Oreochromis niloticus: one gene and its partners. The protein of the gene in region 1 interacts with the protein of each later gene in a pairwise test. Links are inferred from orthologs where the notes say so. Each region holds a gene or a part of one and is shown in the gene's direction. Other genes may lie near its edges. The genes, in order: sp4, nrf1 and pou2f1b.

Region 1 (7,241 bases):
GTGAAAAACAGCACAGCAAATGTGAAGTCTGCCTTTCATCAGAAAGAAAGAAACTCAAGCTGAACTGCAATAATTACATTAAAGGACACAAGAATAGGCTCTTGAGTATTTTCTATGATGCAACAACAACAGTAGCAACAAATTTTATAAACACAAATTCAACAAAGCTATGTGTTGTTAAACTATAGTGCAATTAAACTATAGTGTAATTAAATGTTAATGTGTTATCAACCAGATGTTTTTTTTGTTAAATATAAGATAAGCGTTTGTGTTGTTTTTGGTCAGCAGTGATTTTTACATTAGAACTCTTCCATAAATGCCATTTTTGCCCAGTCTCTTTCTTATTGTTGAATCAAGCACTCTGAGCTTAGCTGAGGCAAGTGAGGCCTGCACTTCTTTAAATTATCTTCTGGGTTCACTTGGAGTAATTTTGGTAGGCTGGCTTAGAAGGTTCACCACTGTTCCGTATTTTCTCTCTGGTTATCTCTGTCTAATATGAACATTTGTTTGATGATTTAAAACTAGTCAGTGTGACAAATATGCAAAAAACTAAGAAATCAACAAGGTCGCAAACACTTTGTTCATGGCTCCGTATAACAACAGAAAATAAATAAAAGGACCATAAAAGGACCCTTCAGAAAACCTTTGACTTTACCTGCAATGCAGAAGTTTGACTTGCAACGGATTCTTTTTAAATAACTTTTTTTTCATTGTAAGAAATCTCAACAAGTCTTTTGTGGAAACAGCTGCAAGGACGAGTACACAATCTGTCGTCCTGACTGGTACATGGCGCCATCTAGTGGTTGCAGCTGTTCACAAATGAAACTATCAGTTGTAACCTGTTCCCATCATGAATTCCTTTAGCTGTAATGTTTATTATCTATTAGCTGATATTTTATTTATTTATTTGTTTATTTATTTATTTGTCTTTTAGTGAGCATAAAGGGATGCTACATTTTGCAGGAAACTCAATGACTTTTAGACAAATATGATAAATACAACTTTAACGAGGATTGAACCTGCTGTAAATTAAAGCCTTATTGTATCATAGAGTTTTACTGCAGTGGATATTAGTTTTTCTGTTAGCAGGATATTTATCTATCCCAGAGAACAGCCTTCTTTCTACCACACCCCCTTCCATCACCACCACCTTACATACATATATAACAACACCCCTTCTTCCGAGCAGACCTCGTTGCCTAGCAACGCCCTGCCGAGTGGCCCAGAAGGCGGGAACAAGGGCCGTGGCTTCCGCAGTAATTACAGTGCATGTGCATGTATGTTTCTAGGCCAGCCCAGGTATGTTTTCCTGTGAACATAGTTTCATTATGAAAATATGTTTAGACTGCAGTGTTTCCCCAAATACAATGACACAAACAAACACAATAAAAATCTTTGAAAAAAGGGGAAACGAAACCACATAAGCATAAAGTGTATGAGCATGCTACAAGAACAAAGTTCTTAAAATCTCTTTAGGCCTTTAAGTGTGAAAAGTCTCATTCATGAGATATGTCTCAGCATTATGATAATCAAATGTGAAAGGCCATGTTAAGAATATCTATGGGATTACCTGTTACATCCATGCTGGACACACAGGGACTAAATTGATCAAATGCAAGCTACATGCATGGACAAGGCTGAAAGACTCGCTCTAGTGAAAATTGTGTTTTTTACAGCGTTAACGTGTGAAAGCCACGAGGAAACCAACCAGCTGATATTACAGCTGAACAGTTCCTCCTTAGGACTGCAGCATGGTAATGACAGTCTCAGATACGTTGGTTTATACCATCAGGGTTTCAAAGTTAGGGAAGCAGTAACCTCTTAGTGGCTGTGTGTGGGCGATGAGGAACAAAGCTGAAGGCTTATGATATCTTTTACCATTTAAGATAGATATAGAGATATATTAAACACATTCTGACACGTAAAGCAATTGGCAACCTTTTGCTGAGAATTCAGCTGTGCTAATAAACAGCTGTTTCCTTCAGTCATTTTGTTTTATGCTAGCCTAAGTTAACAACCCCTTTAATGTCCCATTGGATCATTGATGCACGCTGCTAAACAGGCTACCTAACCAGTGCTAAACTTATTTTATAACTAAGATGGCAACAAAAAAGCCAAGCACGATGCTTAATCCTACTGTATATTTGTTCTTTTTTCAATTTTCTCTTCTTTCTCAACAACGACTTCTGATTGTTACATATATTGCAATAGTTTTCAGAGTTTGAGCAGGTTTGTTTAACTTACAGGCACACACCAGATAGGCTGGTGAAGACACGTGAGACACTTATTTACACATTTAGAGGTCTGTGCATACTAAGATGATGCAAAGGTTTAGGGCTACCTATGCACGTTTTCCTCATTTAGGCACATGAAGGCATAAAAGTATCATGTTCAGGGAAACAACTTATTAACACGTCAATTAGAGATGAGTTGTCACGTTTTTAATTAATACTAGATATGGAACTTCTATACCATCCTGTCTGAGTGTTTATGATGTTATGTTGGGGTGAGACACTGAGACAACTGCATTGCCTTGGCTGCCAGTCTATAAGCCTAAATATTTCCCCTGTGGGCCAGAGCCATATCCTCAGTTGGCCTCTTGCTAATGATGTTTTCTGCTTAGTGAACCAGGGCTGTGACTGGCTAAAGCCACGGAGAAACCCATACAGGCCTAAAGGCCCTCATACAGGCCTTCTGCTTCATCACAAACCTCTACTTCTCAGATGCATTAAAACCACACTGTTCAGAAGTCTGAAAGAGGTTTTGTCACTAGAGTGACAGACTTGACTTCTGTTTCTATTTAGACACTTAAGTGCAGCTGTTGTTCCTCGGCCTGAAACCACCCCAGATGCATTTACAGAACAGTAGTAACAGTGTCACTTTATGGGATAAAGTTATCATGCCAGGCTGATTCTTATTTCGTGGACAGTTCCTGAATGCTAAAACAGATGGACTGTTTATGTATTATTAGTCTAAACAGAAAACAGTGTGTATTGTTGCTGGATGATATAAGCAACCAGCTTCTACAAAGTCACTTAATGAACAAAAAAATAATGACTATATTTACTGTGATTTAATTAGTAGATGATTTTTTTTTAAATGCATCAGCTGTTAAGATTCTCAGCATTCTTTTAAACATCTGTGGTTTATGGCATGGGATGTTAGCCCTAACCAACAGGCTAAACTCTGTAAACATGAACATATTAGCATCAGAGGAGTTGGAATCAGCTATTTTTGGGGGACCAAATTGGGGGAAATAATTATTTGATCCCCTGCTGAATTTGTAAGTTTGCTCACACTTGAAATCTTGTAGCGGCATCAAGGTACCCAAGCTTAAGTCACATATAGCACTTTTCTACTTTCCTAGAGCACTCAGAGCGCTTTATACAACATGCCACATTCAGACTCAGTCACAGAAGCACTTTTTTCTATGCTTTTAAGTGCTTCCTACCTAACATTCACACACACATTCATACTCCGATGCATTGGAGAGCAACTCGGGGTTAGTATCCAAGTAGTCTCTCTCCATGATAAAACTTTCATAAAAATTAGAGACTGTTTATTTCTTTGCAACTGACCAAACTTACACATTCAAATACAAATTGTTCAAAAGGATCAAATGATTGTTTCCCCCACTGTAAAAAATACTATTGATTGGCAGAATGAAGCTATAATGCATATCCCAAAAGTTCAATTTGTCTGAAGAAGCATTTTTGTTGAACTAGCCAGTCAGAATCAACATATTCAATTCACAATTGCATAACAACAGCCAAACACACACACACACACACACACAAATCTTGTACAAGTGTGAATTTCCTAAAGCCTCTGGCAATGCAATGATGTAATTTTCTACTACATAAGATCTAAAGTTGTCAACAAGGGGAAAATATACGAGGTAAATAAATAGAAGTACATCAGCTTAGAAGCAACACTGTTGCATTTTCACCTTTTAAATGATTTCAAAATAATTAAATCATTTGTTTCCCTGATTATCTTATCTTTTTAATCGTTACTGACATTCTGAAACTGACACGCGCACACAAAACACACGGGCGCGCGCGCACACACCTCCTTTCCCGTTTGCCCAACCCCCCACAACACAGAAGTCACCGCCCTTCCCTCTCGCTCTCACACCAACATGACTACCGACACCGCCGCTCCGACGAGCCGGAGCATCACGGGAGTTGTAGTCCCGCTCGCGCTAGCCAGTTCGAGAAGGCGAGGCCTCACCAAAATACAACTCCCATCTCGACCCTCGCACGCCGAGCCCCGTCGTCCAATCTGAATATGTGGGAGGAGCGCGTCCGCCCACAAAAGCCACAGCTATCTCCCTGTATCCCCCCCTTAAAAAAATCAATTGTGCACGAAAAAAAGGGGAACACGCTTAAAATACCAACACAGGTGACGGTTTGTTTTCGGCGCGCGACGGACAGCGACGAGGCGTCCCCGCGTCGTGCGGCGTGAGAAACAGCGGTGACAGGCAGGAGCTGCGAGGAGGGTGTTGTCCTGATGCTTAAATGGAAGTGGGTGGGCCTCTACGGTCACACACTGCCAACTTCTCTGTGGATATCACTCTGACAAGCGCCAATTTGCTCGTTTATGGACTGTCTATCCGGTAAAGGAGTCATACGACGGATCTGTGAGGTGTCCGGCGGACCGGGGACGGTCACCGCTCTCTCTGTTATTTCCGTTATTTGGGGCTGTTTGATTGTTCCTGCGCTTGGCACCGCCCTTCCTGGCCGGTGGGTGGTTTCGTCAAACGGGCAGATCCGCCACGGCTCAGAGCCGAACATATAGGCCGTCCTCCGCCTGTGTACCCGGCCGGCCTTCTACCGTGAACTACACCCTCTCCCTCTCGGTATATTAATGCGTTATGAGTGGTAGGTACCCTCCCCCTCCCCGTCTCCACCCCTCTTTCCCTCTTTCTAGCCGTTTGACAGATAGGAAGCTCAATGCCCCTTTGATATTGATGATAAGGTTACTGGTTTCTCTTCTGTCTATATTGATCACCTCTGTGATGCCATATATGCTATTTTTTTGCTTGGATTTTATTTGCAGCATGCAGTGCCCCGTACAGTGCTCGGGACTTTGTAGTACTCAGTAATACCCAAGTGATAATATTATAATAGAAAATATTCTAACATTTCTTCCTCTTCCTCACAGACTCGAAGAAGGAATCATCTGGAACTGAAGGAGGGAAAGCATCTAAAAGGGGGAAAAGTTCTGGATCACAGGTAAAAGCAAGGAGACAGGAGTTTATTATAGTTCGTTACTTTTCCCTTGCCTGTAGGCCAAAAATGTACTCCCTCCCTCCCAGCCCAGCCAGCCAGACACCTCTGGGGGCGTTTCTCTGGTGAATTCCACTTCCTGCTTCTGTGCAGCCCTACAGTGAGCCAACCCAGAGCCTCATGAATAGGCTTACACGGCTGTCACACTTCAGCCGCTATACTTTTTGAACTGTCTGTTTGAATTATGGTCAGAATGATTTAATTCCGCACGTGGATATTATTGAAAGACCTGCAGCTTTGCTTAAGTGGCCCTGAGACTGTGACACTTCTCTCTGCAGCAGGTTGTATACATATATATCTTTGAGATTATTTTTGAGCCAGGCAGCTGTTCTTGAGCGCATCTTATTGTCATTAAATGTGCATGACGAGCATCGCTGCTGTGTTAATTTTCCTGCTCTTGTAGTTGTTACAAAATCTAGGCTGTTTCCCCGTGCACTGTTGTGAGGTGTTGAGCATTAAAAATTTGCCTGCGACCTAGTTCCTTTGAAAAGGGAGGAGAGAGAAGGCGGCATTTTCTTCCAGTGTTCTGAGAAAAGAGAAATGTGGTTCTCACACGCCCACCCACTCGCTTCCTGTAATACCGCCCACTTCCACTGACAGCTCTCTCTCTCGCTTTCACTCAGCTTTTTGTGTTTCTTTTTTCTGCACCATGTTATTTCCCACCCCTTGCTCTTTTTCCTTTTTCTCTTATTCATTTAAAATTAATCATTGCGTGAGCGTTTGCAATGATACCTGCTATCATCCCCGGCCTTAAGTTTTTTTTATCTTTACACATGTACTCTTTTGATTTGTTTGTGTTTGCGTACAAGCTGTTAATGTATGTTTCTAACCCTGACTCCCTTCTTATCCTTCCTTCCCCTGTCACTCCTATTTTCCCTATCACCCTTCTCACCCCTCCCATCCATCCATCCATTACTCCTCCATCCACTTTCCTCCATCGTCTCCTCTAGGATTCTTCTCAGCCCTCTCCATTGGCTCTGCTAGCAGCCACCTGCAGTAAGATCGGAGGGCAGGGGGGAGCAGAGGGGGCACAGGCCCAAGCAGGGGCCCAGCAGATCCAGGTCCAGGCTGGTCAGATCCAGTTGCAGGCGGGACAGATCCAGGGTCAAATAGTGGTGGACACGGCTGGGGGTCAGGCCTTAGTGCCCCAGCAGCTAGAACTGGTCCCGGCACAGTTCACAGGGAACGGCTGGCAGATCATTACAGCAGCGCCTACTATGGCCAAGGAGAACACCAGTCAACCTGTTGCTGTGACCGTGGCCACCACCTTGGCTAATGACAGCTCACCTGGTGGACGTAAGGTGAGGGGAGTGGTGTGTTTGTGCAAATGTTTTTTATTAATTTTTAATCCTTGTCCATATAACTGAATTACTGCTCCCTTCCTGTTGGGCAGGTAAAGGCAGTAGGTGGGACCAACAGTGTCGCAGCCAATCAGCAGCAGCAATTTCAGATCATCCAGGTTCAGAACCTGCCCAATGCTGGAGCAGGAGTCCAGTATCAGGTCATCCCGCACTTGCAGACTGCAGATGGACAGCAGATCCACATCAGCCCTCAAACAGCCTCCATCGGGGCCGTTCCCGAGCAGGTTCAGCTCATCCAGACTCCGAGTTCGGGCCAGACCCAAGCTATCATTCAACCCACCAACCAGCAGGCCATCCTGACGAGTACAGCCAATCAGACGGTTCCACTGCAGATCCGTCCTGCGCAGTCATTCCCACTTCAGCTGCAGACTCTGCAAGGCTCCCAAACTCCTGTCATGACCACAGTACCTATAAACCTTGGTGGCATGACCCTGGCTTTGCCTGTGATCAATAATGTTGGAGGGGGTGGAGCTGTGCAGCTTATCCAATCAGCAGATGGCACATTCTCTGTTGCTAATGGCAACCAGCTGGTGACAACAGCTGTGTCAGGGGCGGCTCCTACCACAGCTGCAGCTGGATCAACAACAGC
Region 2 (7,563 bases), on another chromosome or scaffold:
GACTGCAGATCTTGGAATTCTTTTACTCCAAGCTATAAGATGGGAGTAATCGCTGAATGTTCTTAGAGTGAAATATGAATGAAAGTGTCATATCATTCAGTGGCCATGACTCTGCAGAGCACCGGTTAAGTTTTCGCAGAGGTTGAGATTTGAGTTAATGGACAGTACTGCAGTGCCCCCTGCTGACCATAGAACACATTTCACCTTTAATAACTTCTCTGCCCCTGGAAAGTTCACTGGGAGAAAAGAATCTATGAGAGAATTTAATTAATATTCTATGAGTTGCTTCAGTCCAATACACAATGCCAAAGAGACTCAGAGCATAACAGTTACTCTGAGCATCTACATATGCACAGGCTATAAGTTTTTGCATTGTGATTCTTGAATTATATTGACTAGCAGACATTTTTAAATTAAAAATTACACCATTTTATACCATATTCTTAATGAATGCTGCCAAAATAGTGCAACAGTTCACTGCTTTATGGACCAGCATTACAACTGCACTGGTTGTACTGACAAAAAAAAAAAAAAAAAAAAAAATGAAAACAACATGCACATATCAAGTGACTAAATGAAGTGGCTGCATAATTTTCTTCCAGATAAAAATAACTGAGACTGATAAGAAAAATATTTTGGAGTTGGTACTGGATTAAAGATTTATTGGGAAGCCCAATAGACCCAAAGAATTTATAGAATGACAATTCAAACTACAAATTTGTGTTTAAATGACAGGAGATCTATTATGCTGTTTTCCAAAATTTCCATTCTTTATCTTTGGACTCTAGTAGCGTGCCTTTTTATGATTCACAGTTCAAAATAAACATGAATCCACTTCAATTATTTGTATAGCCCAATATCACATGTATGGGTTCAAAGGGCTTTTCTGGGGGTAAGGAGGTTGATAAATATATTAAAAAGAGATATTTAACAAATGAACAACCCATTAAAAATGCATATATGCACACCCACAAGTTTATAAACAGCTCATACATAAAAATAAATAATACATAAAGTCCCACAAAAAACAGGGAAAAATATAATGAAGAAGCATGGGTCGTATCTGCCAGACTACTGAATGGAGTCTCACCAAAACTGACAGTGGTATGCTAGTTGAATGCCAGATTTAAAGCGTGTTTTTAACAGTTTCTTGAAATTATTGGTAGAGTGTACTTCTCTAATATTTTGAGGGAGAGGCTGTTTCAGAGTTTGGGGGTATAATGTGCAAAAGCTGCATCCCCAATTTTTCTCTGTGAGGAGTACTGCATAGCCAACAGTTTGGCAGTGGAAGATCTAAGAAGGCAAACTCAGATGTGAAGTGACTAACTGTCAGACCATTTAAGATTTGTTTATATAAATAAAATATTTTTAAATCAATTCTGTAGGATTCTGGAAGCCAGTATCTGCACTAATGTGCTCTCTGTTATTGGTTTCCATTAATACCCTTGCAGCAGACCTCTGAATAAGCTACATCTTACTGAAAGTTGTTTTAGGAAGCCCTGCAAAAAGGGCGTTGCAGTAATCCAGTCAAGTAGAAATGAAAATCATCTTATACTAGGCGTTGATGCAGCCCCTCAGGCCATGCAGTGTCTGAAACAGGTTACTGTAACTTCAAGCCAACTTTCTTCTGATTGGGTCCCCCTCATAAACAGAAAGTTTGAACAGCAGAAGGGTGAGGCTGCTGATACAAGGAAATATCTGATCTAAGAGTATGAATGGTAGCAATGTGTTTGTAAAGCGTCCTCTACAAATAGCACAAGCTTAAACTCTAACATCTGTAAATTGGACCTTTACACCAAAAGGCCCAAAGATGCAAAAGATCTAGTTTACTACAAGGTCATATAGCTTTTTCTGAGCAAATATAACAATTTATGTAAGGACAAACACCTTATTCTTGGAACTATTGTTTCAGCTTTGAAAAAGAAAGTCAATAAAATGCAAAGGTGTTATTACTAAATAATGCTGTAAACAATAGGTATACAGTAGGAGGTCTAGGGGAGAGAGAGTGATTTCACATCCCCGCCATCTTCTCGTCTTCGATAACTTGACCTCTCGACAAAGCTGGTGACGGTCCACACAATTACCTTCAATTATCCTCACTTCCAGCTCACCAATTACATCCATTATTGATTCCAGAGCCCCAGGCTGTAAACCTTATCTATACCTAACCATAGCCCATGATAGAGAAAGCAGAATAGGGCCAAATAACAGCACCTTGCTTCTTCAACATTCTCCAGCTTTTCAGTCCATCTATGTGACATCATCACCTATCTAAAGGATATTGCTTCACACTGCAGTGCCCTTGGGAAACAACTTCTGTGAATGGCATAAAAATTATTTGTCAGCAGTTTCGACTCTGCTAAAATGATCTATGCGCCAGAGTGCAAGTTAGTTAAAAAAAAAAATATGTTTAAATGATCTCCTGAGTCAGAAAACTGAATAAAAGTCCAGGCAAACAATATAGCTAAAGGTTGACTTTTTCACAAAGAAAATTCAACAAATTCTTCTTAAAATTTCAACGCGAGTTGTGTGGAACAGGAAAGAAAACACACCCAATTTTTCTTTCTATATAAATATCCATTGTGAAGCTTTAGGAAACAATGAAAACACATGTCTGTCTGTAGAAAGCAAAGTAAGACAGAGAGGGATGACAGTGAGACAGAGAGGATTGAAGGTCAGCTACACAGTATGGAAGCTGTAAAACGCAGGATCACACTCTGCAGCTCTCCTGCCAGATTTTTTAATATGATACTTGCTGACATTTAGTGAGACACAAACATAAGCTGCTGTCATCACACACTAATGTAAAACATCCATCATCTTGAATACATGCCAGGGCACCTGCAGAGAGCCGTATCAATGATGCCCTACTGCCATCTCCTGTTACAACAAACTTGAAGAGCGCAGCTCCATGACTGATTTGTAATGCAACACTGCCCCCTTGAGGACGTATGAAATTAAATATAAGCGCATCAGAAACTTGCCTCTTTATCCGTTTAGCTCACTTTCCCACCAGAAGGTGTTTAAGATGCCAACTGTGTTTAGGGTTACAGTAATGTCTTAAACTTCATTTTAATATCTGCCACCAATACAGAGAAAGCTGCAGAAAGCTCAGAAGCACTGAATGTCTGGTATTAAAAACAACAAAGAAACCTCATTAATTGGAACTTTATTTTTGAGTTGCACAAAAATGCTTCCATTCAAATGAATAAAAGATTTCTGACAAACAAAATACACAAACTGCATGTTTACCCTGTAGCGTGCATCTTATAGGTTCATGTTTCTTTTGAGTAAGTTTTTGTTGTTGCCGTTTTACAATATTATGATGCATATCTTCCATTTTATTATAAATATAATACTATACTAAACGTAATTATCTATTTTTAAAAATTGCTAACTATTAAGCAAGGCAGTAATCTGATAGACATGACTTAACTGATACTATGAAAATATTTCACTATTTTAAAATCGGCATAGTAAAATTCTTGACAAAGTAATCTGAATTCAAATTTCCTTCGATTTTATCACTGATCTGGGTGGATGACTTTCTGTAATCTGTGTTAACCGGTTCAAATGCTATCCTTTTGCTACTGCCCAATCTTGCTATGTTTCCGCATAAAACTTTGCATAAGTCTCATAATTAAAGTTGTGCAAATTAGTTGTGTATTATTAGGGAAAGAAAATAAACACGAGAAAATGAACAAGTAACAGCTTAGTCAACTAACCTCTTCGAAGAATCTAAAGGCATCTCTATGTCACAGCACCACAGGAGTTGCTAATTACAGTAAATTGGAAATTTTGGTTTGGTCTAGCCTATTGTTGTTGGGGGGTTTTTTCTGTTTGTTTGGTTGGGGGTTTTTTTAATTGTTAATGATGGGGTCTGAGTAGGGGGGTAGCTTTTATTAACACAAAATAAAGATGCTTTAATTTTGTGTGGTTTCGTGTTTGTTTGTTGCCAAACCGGATTAGACCACTTTTGAATAACGACCATCTTCTGGCGCCTGCCGCTGTTGAATAGAAAGGGGCGTGGCTCGACAGGTCTTATGTGGCGTTCATGAGTACAGGAAAAGTTAGGTTTCATTGCAGAATCGTAAACTATGGGCTTAACCGCAATGAAAAAAAGGTCTGTGTTATATTAAACTGGACATTTAGTGACGTCCAGGTTTTCTACACGTGGAAAATCAGCAAAAACTACTTAGTTTGATCTTTTATTTACTGAGATAAACTTTATGTTTCATATTTCCATGCTCCCTTTCATTTTTAATTACTCTTCCCTCCCCAAAAAACATAAAGGCTCTGAAATAAAATCGGATATTTTAACAGTTTTGTAGGGGTTCATTAAAAAATTTCGAGAATTTAAAAACTGACATAATAAAAAGTGAAGTTATGTTTAATATTTCTGTCATGCTGAAACATCGGCAATGAGTTGTTAACTAGAATCAGTTTAAAGAAAACAATGTCTACGAAGTATTTATGAGCGCGTTTGTTGTTGTAGTTTCAGTTCTTGAGTATTACTGTTACGGTTACGCGGCAGGCACTTGAAAGCATCACTAGTGCAGCTCACTGTTGTGTGCGGTCTGTTGGTTGTGTTTGGTGCTGGCTCCCCTCTGTCCTCCATTAAAGCTCGGCTCCATCCCCGCTGTACGGCGCAGGCCCGAAGTAGCGCAGCCGCTCTGAGGTTAGTGCCCTACCGCGCAATCTCCATCTATTTCAGCCCCGGCGCAGCCGCATCATCGAACCCGGCAGCGTTGGGGTGAACGATGCAGATTGTTTAGCTGTTGACTGGAGTCGGATTGTATTTTAAATCTGTTTTTGGGGGGAATCGTAATCTAGGCGCGTATCGACTTCAACCTCGGAGAGAGAAGAATAGCTGAGGATGAGCCCACAGGCCCGGGCCTGTTATGGCGCTATGTTTTTGTGTGATTTTTTGCGCGGGTTTCGTGCTAGCTGCTGCATTACGACGGCTTTCACAGCGCCCTGTAATCGTTTTGTTTAGTGTCTGAACGTGCAAAATAGGTGGCAGAATTCGTGTTATTTTAGACGACCGGCTTTATACCGCCAAATGGTTAGCTAGGCAGCTAATTAGCTGAATGTAGGGCATTGCTAGCTTAGCTCAGTGAAGCAGTCGTTGACAGTAGACCGGCAGATCCGGCTAACTGTACACTACTGTCTGGCACGATCAATTCTTTATCCAGTGCTGTGCAAAATTAAGCTGGTTGCAGGTCACTAAATTGGTTACACATACACATTGTTGTGGAGTTGTGCGTTTCGTGCATCACTGATCTCCTCAGTGTCTAGACTTCATGTACTGCAGCTGGCTATAAATATATTAGACTGAAATTAATGACCTGAATTTCAGTTATATATAATTATTTATTTATTTATTTATTTATTTATTTTTTGGGGGGGGCAGTATTGACGTTCTTGTATGCCACTATAAAAGTTAAAACTGTGTGTGCAGATACATGATTAAAGAACTATTCTATAAATCATCTTTGCACTGTATCAATGAAGCAGGTTATCTACATGAAACGGTCTCCTTTCATTTATTCATAAACCTTTTAACCGCTGTAATTTGATTGATTTGGAGTGAACATAAGCATTATGTGTGTGTTAGTGTGCAATATATGTTTATTTTTCCTCAGCCACACTACAGTGTAACTCCACATACTCATATATCCAGTTTTCCAAATTAATATGGAGTTTCCCATACTGTGACAAAATTTAATTTAAAAGACCCTTTAGTTGGACATGAAATTGTGATTTGTTGTGCTAAGCTATCTATTACTGGGTGGAATGCACATCTTCCAAATTCATCACCTGTAACACCTAACATAAGTGCCCTCTATGGGCAGAGTGAAAGTGGTACAGTCAGACAAGAGTGGAAAAAAATGAATCATTGTTTTCAGACAATACTCTTCCAAATGAAATTCCCTATTAATGCAGTATGACGTCCTCTGGAGGCAGAGCGGCAGTGGTGCACTAAGCACAAGCACAAAGACACCCCAGCATCTTCATCAGACAGCTCTCCCTGTAAAAATAAATGACAGTGGCAGCTGTGCATGGTCACAGTTTTGTCTGAAATATCATAACACTTCCAAATTCTTGGTGCATAGGAATTCATTTAAATGTATAAATAAATATCAGCATATTGTCTTGTTAAGATAACATATCATTATTCGTTAAATTTGATGTACTTTGATCACTTCCCTCTTTTTTTCCTCAGTAACTGTACTGTGGACCTAGCTGTGTAGACCAGCTGGCTGATAATGGATGAGCACTCCGTTCACCAGGCAGAGCACATGACCACAATTGAGGCTAGCGCTGTCAGCCAGCAGGTGCATTTACAAGCATAATAAATGGTGTAAATTAGAAACAAATTTACTGATATTAATCACTCATCTTGTTAAATTACTGGCCCAGATCAGAAATCTTAACGCCCCACTATAGTCCCAGGTTCATTCATTCATTGATTCGTGTATAGGTACATGTGACCACCTTGACTGACACATCCATGATGAGCGCTGAGGAAGACTCGACCTCCTCACCAGATGACGATCCTTATGATGACACAGACATCCTCAACTCGGCTGGCACTGATGAGGTCACAGCTCACCTGGCTGCTGCAGGTGAGTCTAAACTCTGTGCTGTTTCCAGAGTGTGTTAGTTGGGTCTGACCAAAGTTACAAGCAGAAGTGCTTCACGACCTGTAGACTTGTGTTGATAATCATTATTAAGGTTGCAAAGTTTGTGGCAAATTAGACAGTCAACTCCTTACAACAGACCATTTTTTTGTTTGTTTTTTTAATTCTTCTTAGCATCTGTGTTTAATTATACAAGCCTGGTAAATCCCATAACACCATAATTTAAGCAAAATGCTTTCAGTTGAGCAACAGGTGGCGCCAGTGGATTAGTTGTGTAGGCAGTGTTGCCTTCTGTCAAGCCTCTGCCATGTTTTGAGGGGGTTTTTTTCATCTTAAAGTTGGCATGATTTGAAATTAAATCGGTGAAGTGCTACTTCAGGTCTTTTTAAAAACATACTTTATATTAAAAAAGAGAAAGAACAATAAACAGTAACAACCGCATGGGCTGTGTATTTAAAAGCTCAAATCAGAGAAGGAAAATACTTTGTCTCTTTTTACCTTTGCTAAAATCTCTCCCTCCTCCTCTTTCTTTCAGGGCCAGTGGGTATGGCAGCTGCTGCTGCCGTAGCAACTGGGAAGAAAAGAAAAAGGCCTCATATCTTTGAATCCAACCCTTCCATCCGTAAGAGACAGCAGACTCGTCTCCTCAGGTGAATCTAATAGCTTTTCTGTCAGCAGCTACGGTGACCAAAATATCCCTCGCTCAGCTCCTAGGGTAGAATTGTTGTTGTGCTTTGTAGCTTTTAATCTGAACACAGAAGTAAAGGATGGTGTTTGTTAACAGGAAACTGCGAGCCACGTTGGATGAGTACACCACCAGAGTGGGCCAACAAGCCATAGTGTTGTGCATCTCCCCCTCCAAACCCAACCCTGTGTTCAAGGTGTTTGGTGCTGCTCCTCTGGAGAATGTGGTAAGTCT
Region 3 (7,842 bases), on another chromosome or scaffold:
TCTAGTCAGAGACACAAATCCTCCTTGGGGTTATGTCAGGAAAGGTGTCCAGTGGAAAACTCATGCTGTGACAAGGGAATAGGTGAAAGTAGCTTTATTTGGACACCTTTTGACTATATTAATAAAACTGAACTGAACTGAACCAGCTGAAATGGGAATTGTAACAGCCCAGCCATCGTGCCAGAATGTTTTAATTTATAATTTAAACACTTTTAAGCTGTCCAACAATTTTAGGATTTAGATACCAAACTATGAATACTATTTGAATGTGCTGAACATTTAATTAAATTCCTACATGTTGTAATATCAGTAAATTAAAAATGCACACAAAAATGTGCAGAGCATGTGAATTGACCACTATGATTATTACAGTGCATCCACCCTGTTACTGTGCAAAACAGTGACACGGGTCGTCAGTAACACAGAAGATGTTTTATGATTTTTTTTTGATCATGTGGCGCACAACAGAAAAGCACATCAAAACTACAAAAAGGTTTTTGTTTTTTTTTAAAAGTGTGTCCACCATATCAAAATATCAACTATGATCACTTTATTCTGGAAATAAATGTAACAGAGTGGACATTTTGCACTTCACTACCTCTGTGAACCATTCTGAAATATGGCGGGGAGGAAGGTTGCGCAAAGATTGATACTTACTCTGACTCTTGCAAAACTCCCTCCAATAACATTTTACTACTTCCTGTGAGTCATATGACTAGAGGAACAGTTAACTAACCTGATCAGAAGGACTTCTGTAAATGTAACAGGAGGGACAGTTTATGGATATAACCTATTTTTAAAAAATTGAAACATCCTGGTTTGTATTGATAGCAACGATAGTTGTTGGTATAGAACATTATAAATAAGGCTGTGGATAAGTAATGGAAATTGTCTTAATTTTATAACATATTGATAACTAAAACCGAACAAACATGTTTAATTAAAAATCTGAGTGATTATTATAAAAAATATTTCGGATACATATAATTGTGTTAGATGGTAGATGAGGGTTGATAATTTAAGCCATTAGAAAAAAGTATTGACTAGTACTGACACAAAATGCACTAGATTCTCTCATGAGAATTTCACTAAATACTAGGAATGACCCATTTACTTCTATTAGTGAACATTTTCCTGCTGGTGCTGTTTGACAGTTTAATAGGAGTCAGAATAAATTAAGTATAAAATACTCAAGTAAAGCTGAAATCTAGTTGTGAACAATAAAACAAACTGAGGGGGAATAAATCCAGAGCAAAAACTTTCCAAGACAAATAAGGTATTATTTCTCAGTAAGTAAATTATTGATTTTTCTGTTACTGATTAATCAGCTGAAGCAAAAATGTTTTTTCAGAGCTGCCTATATACTATATGCTAACAGTGTCAAACATGCGGGCCAGAATCGGCCCAGCAAAGGCTGAACTCCAGTCCACTGGACAGGTGAAGGAGTGCATAGATTTTTGATTTTTGATTTTTATTTTTTTTTTACAGGTTCTCTTATTGATAAAGTCTCCTGCCATTAAAATTAATACTACACCAAAGCAATTAAGTACCAGATAAACAATTACAATAATTTGGTTGGTTGGTTTTTTACAGTGAGCTCACAGAAAAAGGACAATCAGCATGCAGCACGAGCATATGACAAGCATAACACTTTAACCCACTTTAAACAACAGAAAGTACAAGTTTTTCTGATTTGTCACCACTTTGCGAGGTCTGGAGGAAGAGCCAAACTGTCACTCCCAGAGGAGAGGGAATTGGTTATGATGTTTAGGAACCACCCAAGAAGCACCAAGGCTCAAACCTGCCATAAACTAGAAAATTCCCGAACAGCGGATTCACTGTCCTTTGTGAAGCAAGTTGTACAAAATCGCGAACTGAGACCAAGAAAGAAGCCCCTGCTCCAAAATCAGCACCTTCAAACTCAGCTGAAGTTTGCAGCTGCCCACATGGAAATGCCTTCTTGAGAAATGTTTTATGATCAGATGAGGCAAAGACTGAGCTACTTGGCTACAATAACAAGAGGTATGTTTGAAGGAATATGAATGAGGCTTTCAAACTTTGTTTCAAACTGTAGCATCGTAATGCGGGGCTGTTTTGCTCTCAGTCGCACTGGTACGGTGCACAAAGTGACGTCGAGCCGTCAAACATCAAACCAATTTGAGCCTAAACATTAACACCTGAAAAGCAGTCCTGTTTACGTATTAATCACCAGGCAATGTAGCACAAAAACAGATGAAAGAGGCAAAACCTTGTGTCATAGCCAGGGGTTAAAGTTAGCACAACACCGGAACACCTGCAGATGTCCATAAGCTGCAGTTGTAGGCCTTCAACATCTAGCTAGCCCTACAAAAGAGGAGCGAGAAAAAACATAAAGGGAGTGATGTGTTTGTTTTTAAGTGGCAGGTCATTTAAAATGCAGCGTTTCTATTAGCTCAACAAACATAATTAAACACGCAAACTGTGTCTAATAGTTTGTCGCACGGTGTGTTGCTAGCTTAAATGTGTTTACAGGGATAGAAAAAAATGAGAGCTAACTTCACTCGGTGATAGAAAGAGGGAGAAGGGAGGTCATAATAAAGGTGAGGACCGCTCAGTGGTAAATGTAAAGTCCTCATGTTTTTATTGGGTCTGTACATGTCACATGTTTTTTTTCATGTTGTGAAACGTGCTGCACAACAACCTGTTGTATACTATTTGTGCTATTTAAAGACTGCATGAGAAATCTCTGCAGGTTAGCGCAGGATAAACAGGTTAGTTTGCAGTACTGTGGTTATTCACAGTAAAGGACTGTGTGTGACTGGTGGACAGTGGCTGTGGCTTCATGGTCAGAGTTAGATCACATCAAGTGTAGCAGAGATGAATTTGAAGTTAAGCTGATGTTACTTAGATTCACTCGCTGAATTCCACCGTTATACCAACTTTATAGTGTCTTATGGAGAACTTATGAAACATCTGCCTACATCTTGTTGAATTCAGGTGAGAGCAGTAAACCTCAGAGCAGCACAGGTCAGCTGATCACAGCCTGTACACAAAGAAAATCTGCTGCAGCTCTCAATAGAAATTATTCTGAGTTGTGAGTCACTAAAGCCAGTAAAACTGATTTTAGCTTGGTCCCTTTATTAGAATTAAATTTAGATGGAAATAAAGTTTGTTTCCTATATACTAATATTATTTAATTATTACATTATTACATTATTATACATATAGCACAACGTTCAGTGAGGTTTCAAAAAAAAAAATAGCTGGTGTAAATGAACTTTTACTTTCTTACTTTGAGTACATTTCAGAGCCTGTACTTTTACTTGAGTAAAGAAGTTGCTTCATTACTTTTACTGGGGTATTTTTAACACTAGTATCTGTACTACTTAAGAAGATTTCAGCATTATTAAATATATGTGGACTATGCTTAAAAGCCAGGTCCGTGCCAGGAAAACAATGATTTTAAATGAACTCTATAAATTCTGATGAGCGGTCAAATATCCAACCACAAGCTTGCTTATGGCAATCAAAATCATCTGGTCAAGGTGCAAGATGCTAAGGGAGATTTCACCAAATATTAGTGGGGGTGTATGTATTTAAGGATGAAGACTTTTGACCCTGTGGGGATTCAAGAAAATCCAAAAATAAATTCAAACTCGTGTAGCCAATTTTTATTTTTTCAAAGTCAATAAAGATCTATGCTTTACCCTGGAAAATGAAAAGTGCAGAGAAGCCAGTAAAAGCTCATTCATCCCCGTGTTCGATGTATGTAAATGTCTGACCACAATTGTAGATATGACAGTGTGTAGTTGTCTGTTTCTTTATATTAGGCCTGTGATGGACTGTCAGCCTGTCCAAGAATACCTCGCTTTTCACTTTACAACACCTGGGGTATACACAAGCCCTCCATGACGCTGGATGGAGGGATAAAATTATAACATTAAAAACTGAAATAGTGAATTTCAGAGGCGCAACACTTTTTTAAAAGCCATCAACAGTTATATATATTAAAAACCCCCATCCGTTTTCATGACGGATGAAAACCGTCATACTCCTGGTATATTCTGATATATATCCTGGTATAGATCAATGGACAACATGCAGGAAGGGGTGGGGATATAAGGAAATGTGTTCTTGATTTACATGTTTACTTTTTCCATAAATAAACAGAAACAGCAATGATACCAGAGACAGTAAGCAAATATATGGAAAAGAAAAAGTCTATTCGAATAAGACTATATGAACATTAAACATCATTATCAGGGCACGCATGACAACAAAGCAATACAATCATTGTTCTTCTGTTGCTTCATGCTTTGTATATGTTTTTGAAATAAGATGGTCTAATCAATGTTTTGCTGCAACACATGCAGACAAAGCATCAATACAAGTTCATAAATCCCCAGTAAATAGCAATACAATATTTCTCCTGGTATTTCTGTGAAATAGTCTGAGTCATAGATTAAGATGACTGTGGTTGTCACACATTACGCATTTTTCTAAATTCCTCGGGGTATATTTTGTTTTATTTGACTTTTAAGTGGTGAGTCAAACCAGCATAAATGGCTCTGGGCAATTTTCAGGGCTAGTGTTGATAGTGTTTTCCGCGATAATACTGCGCAGGTCCGCTGGGTGATCCGCCCATGGCCTGTTCAATTCAAAAATTATTGTGTAAAGAAAACAAGATGCCTGTTTAAGTATGTAAATAAGCCACAGCTCACAACACGCTCCACTATCCTCAGACCAGGTCCCTGAGCGCATGCGGGAATCCATGAAAACGTGCACGTGCATTTGTGTATGTGTATATGTGCGAGTGTGAGTGTGTGTCAGGGCTGGGATTTCGGGTTAAATATTCAAAATGGCGGACGGAGGAGCAGCGAGTCAAGATGAGAGTTCAGGAGCAGGTAATGATTACAGCATTTTACATATTCATACTCATATTCAAACTGTGTTACTCACAATTTATGATAACGGTATACTGATGAAATGCAGATTGATTAGCAGATAAGGGCGATATTAGGCGCTGCTTTAGTTTACACACAGCTAGCCAACTGTAATTTGACAGAGGAGGAAACGAGCCTTTGCAGTGCGACGGCAAATTACATGGAAACATGCCTCCCCCCCTTTGTGTGATTAGACGGCTGTACGCCGCTACATATTCATACCTCTGTCGACAAATACAATTTAGCATATTTTATTAGTAATCGCCATCGTGGCTCTGGTTCATGTATGACATATTTAGACCTTTCACGAACGCTGTTTGATTGAAATGATTATGCTAGCTGGCTAGCGTTAGCTGCCGTGCTAGCGCTTGGCTTTGTGTTGATGCACACACCGAAGCTTTTGAAACGGGTTTGCATATTCATTTTAGCCGAGTCGGGCAGCGGCTGCGCTCGTATGTTTTCAAAGGGTCGTTTATAAGGGAGGAGGGTGTTATTTAATCAAACTGTAGCAGACCTTCCCTTTGTTAAAGACACACGGAGTCAGCTCGGAGTGCTTGTGCTCGACGTGATTTTTATAGCGGAGCGTTTTGCCCCAGCCTTTTGTGTGCTCGGCGCAGCGGAGCCACGGCAGAGCCTGTTGTGTTATTCATGCGGGGCCTGCCTGCCTGAGCCACACTGTGCGGAGTTCAGCGCGTTACAGCAGTCGACGAGGAGCACACAATAAATGCATGTCAACACAACACCGTGTCACGACGCCGAATGACTTTTCAAATGAGGCCTCCCGTGTTTCATTTGAATACGGCTGTCCTCCGAGCGGCTAACTGGCTACAACTTGCCAGCCGTTTATCGGCTAACTTTACGTACACGGCGATTTTATTTGTTATTTTTTTAAGTTTAGGTCAGATACATATATAGTGAGATGTTGAGATGAATGTGTTTGACATATTTGTTTCGGAAGTTAAACAGTTCGAAAGTTGGGTCGAGCACTTTTTTAAATTATTATTATTTTAAACTTGAGGTGGGAGTAGTCTGGCATCGGGTTGGTCCTGGTCTGCCAGGCGAACTAATCCATCTCATTACAATGTATAATTTATTTGTGCAGCTTTTAATTGCGCCTGACGTAACGGTTTTGAGAACCGGGCTTGTACGCGTCATGCGTGTTTGTTGCTGGAGTTTTTGGGCTGAATTCAAAGATTGTACCTGTGTATCCCCTACCCGCCACCCCTAGGCACAGGGAGGGGTGGTGAGGCCCACTTCCGGAAGGCCACAGTAATAACAGGCAGGGCATTCTTATTATTCACTCTGCTGCTTTCATGGCCGGGCAAGACACAGCTTGATGGCACTTTTTTTCTCCTTTAGTCCATGTAGCTGAGCTTGCTGTTTAGTTTGTTTTAAAGAAGCGTGTCTGAGGTCTGTTGTAGTAACAGTAAAGAGCAGGTAATTATCTTTGCTGTTCAACTTTTTATATTTCAGAAAATGCGCCAGAAAAGCCATTGTGTGACACATCAGGTGTGTTTGTGTGTCCTTGAGTTTTTTTCTTTTCTTCTTCTTTTTTTTAAGTGGTGTAACCGACTCATTATCTTATAATTACAGAGGAACGTATTAATGTCTCTTAGCAAGTTAAAACAAGGTTTGGGTTTGCTTTTTTTGTTAAGGATTCTTGAATAAGATTGAATTCTTTCCGATGTAGATACACTCATTTCAAACTTTGCCCACATTGTTAGCAACTTTATGCGCACACAGGCATTACAGGCAGTGTCCTTATATATTGCAAGACAGTTATGAATCTAAAAGATATAGATTGTTTGAGAAGAAAGGCCATAAATGGTTTAATATTCAAAATAATGCTCAAAGTGTTACATTCTAATGTGTCTGTTAGCATTTCGACTGTCTGGAATTGGCTTAGATTGCATTTAAAAAAAAAAAAAAAAAATCTTGCATATTAAACTTGGGCACTTAAGAACATGCGAGAAGTAATTCTGTCTTCCTCACACTCAGTCTACTTTTCTCATTTAATCAGTTTTACAGTTCCACCCTCATTCCAGCCTTGTAGTTCCATCATGAATATTCATTGATGTAAACACAGTTGTTATGAATAATGCATCATTTGCCGTAATAAATTCAGGACATGCCATCTCAAAGTACTGAGAAGGCCTCCATGAAAGCTCCAGTCAGACGACTTTTTTTTTTTTTTAATGGAGGAAAATTATAACCAAAAAAAGAGCTCTTTTGTGTCCTCAGGGTTGTAACTACTTGTTTTGTTTTTAGTGATCTCTGGTAAAGACAGCAATTCCTTATTAAACAGTGCAGCAAGGTAAAGCAGATGTTTCCAGCTGGTCTTTATGTGTAAAAACGGAGGCTTTTTAAGACAAACAACACACTAATTTGGAAGATTAAATCAGACTCTATATGCTGAAGATTTGGAAGTAGTCACATTGTTCCTGATGATGACTGTCATGTGCTTAACATAATTAAGATCACTAGTACTAGTAAACATTTGTATTTCATTAGAACTTTTTTTTAAATGCTGCAAACACGATATAATGCAAGGCACGTTAAGAAAACAGAGGCCTTTTGTCTGAAAATATCCAGACTGAAATATCGTTGCAATAATGCCCGTCCTTTAAATAGATGAGATTAAAATGTTGGCTTGAGTCAACAGTCAGGAAGCTGGATACATTTTTTTTTTTTTTTAAAGGAAAAAGGCTGCACTGTTTTCCTATTAGACAAAAGTAAAACACACAACACATTAATAATCAAATGTTCATGCATGTGCTGTTTTCCTAAGTGGTGAATGTGTGTCTGAATTCAGACTGTAGTACTGGTTCATGTGGCTAACCTCTGTACGTGCCCATTTGAAGTAGCTGAGTTGTTGTCCCTGAGAAACTTCACTTTAATTTGGTTAGATTGAATTTCCCAC

Evidence for each region.
Region 2: the proteins of sp4 (region 1) and nrf1 interact in binary tests that used the Homo sapiens proteins (3 or more experiments, as listed by UniProt). The two-hybrid records come from large-scale screens. The link is inferred for Oreochromis niloticus from reciprocal best matches to the Homo sapiens genes SP4 and NRF1.
Region 3: the proteins of sp4 (region 1) and pou2f1b interact in binary tests that used the Homo sapiens proteins (3 or more experiments, as listed by UniProt). The two-hybrid records come from large-scale screens. The link is inferred for Oreochromis niloticus from reciprocal best matches to the Homo sapiens genes SP4 and POU2F1.

Annotation. Positions count from the first base shown.
Region 1 is NC_031985.2:23,769,488-23,776,728, reverse strand, and holds the start of sp4 (transcription factor Sp4), read left to right. Parts: upstream 1-4,139; 5' UTR 4,140-4,876; coding exon 4,877-4,883; intron 4,884-5,166; coding exon 5,167-5,237; intron 5,238-6,241; coding exon 6,242-6,592; intron 6,593-6,684; coding exon 6,685-7,241. UniProt on the Homo sapiens protein: Binds to GT and GC boxes promoters elements. Probable transcriptional activator.
Region 2 is NC_031981.2:11,025,729-11,033,291, reverse strand, and holds the start of nrf1 (nuclear respiratory factor 1), read left to right. Parts: upstream 1-4,537; 5' UTR 4,538-4,678; intron 4,679-6,226; 5' UTR 6,227-6,269; coding exon 6,270-6,338; intron 6,339-6,484; coding exon 6,485-6,629; intron 6,630-7,179; coding exon 7,180-7,294; intron 7,295-7,428; coding exon 7,429-7,555; intron 7,556-7,563. UniProt on the Homo sapiens protein: Transcription factor that activates the expression of the EIF2S1 (EIF2-alpha) gene. Links the transcriptional modulation of key metabolic genes to cellular growth and development.
Region 3 is NC_031987.2:21,331,104-21,338,945, reverse strand, and holds the start of pou2f1b (POU domain, class 2, transcription factor 1b), read left to right. Parts: upstream 1-4,760; 5' UTR 4,761-4,837; coding exon 4,838-4,883; intron 4,884-7,842. UniProt on the Homo sapiens protein: Transcription factor that binds to the octamer motif (5'-ATTTGCAT-3') and activates the promoters of the genes for some small nuclear RNAs (snRNA) and of genes such as those for histone H2B and immunoglobulins.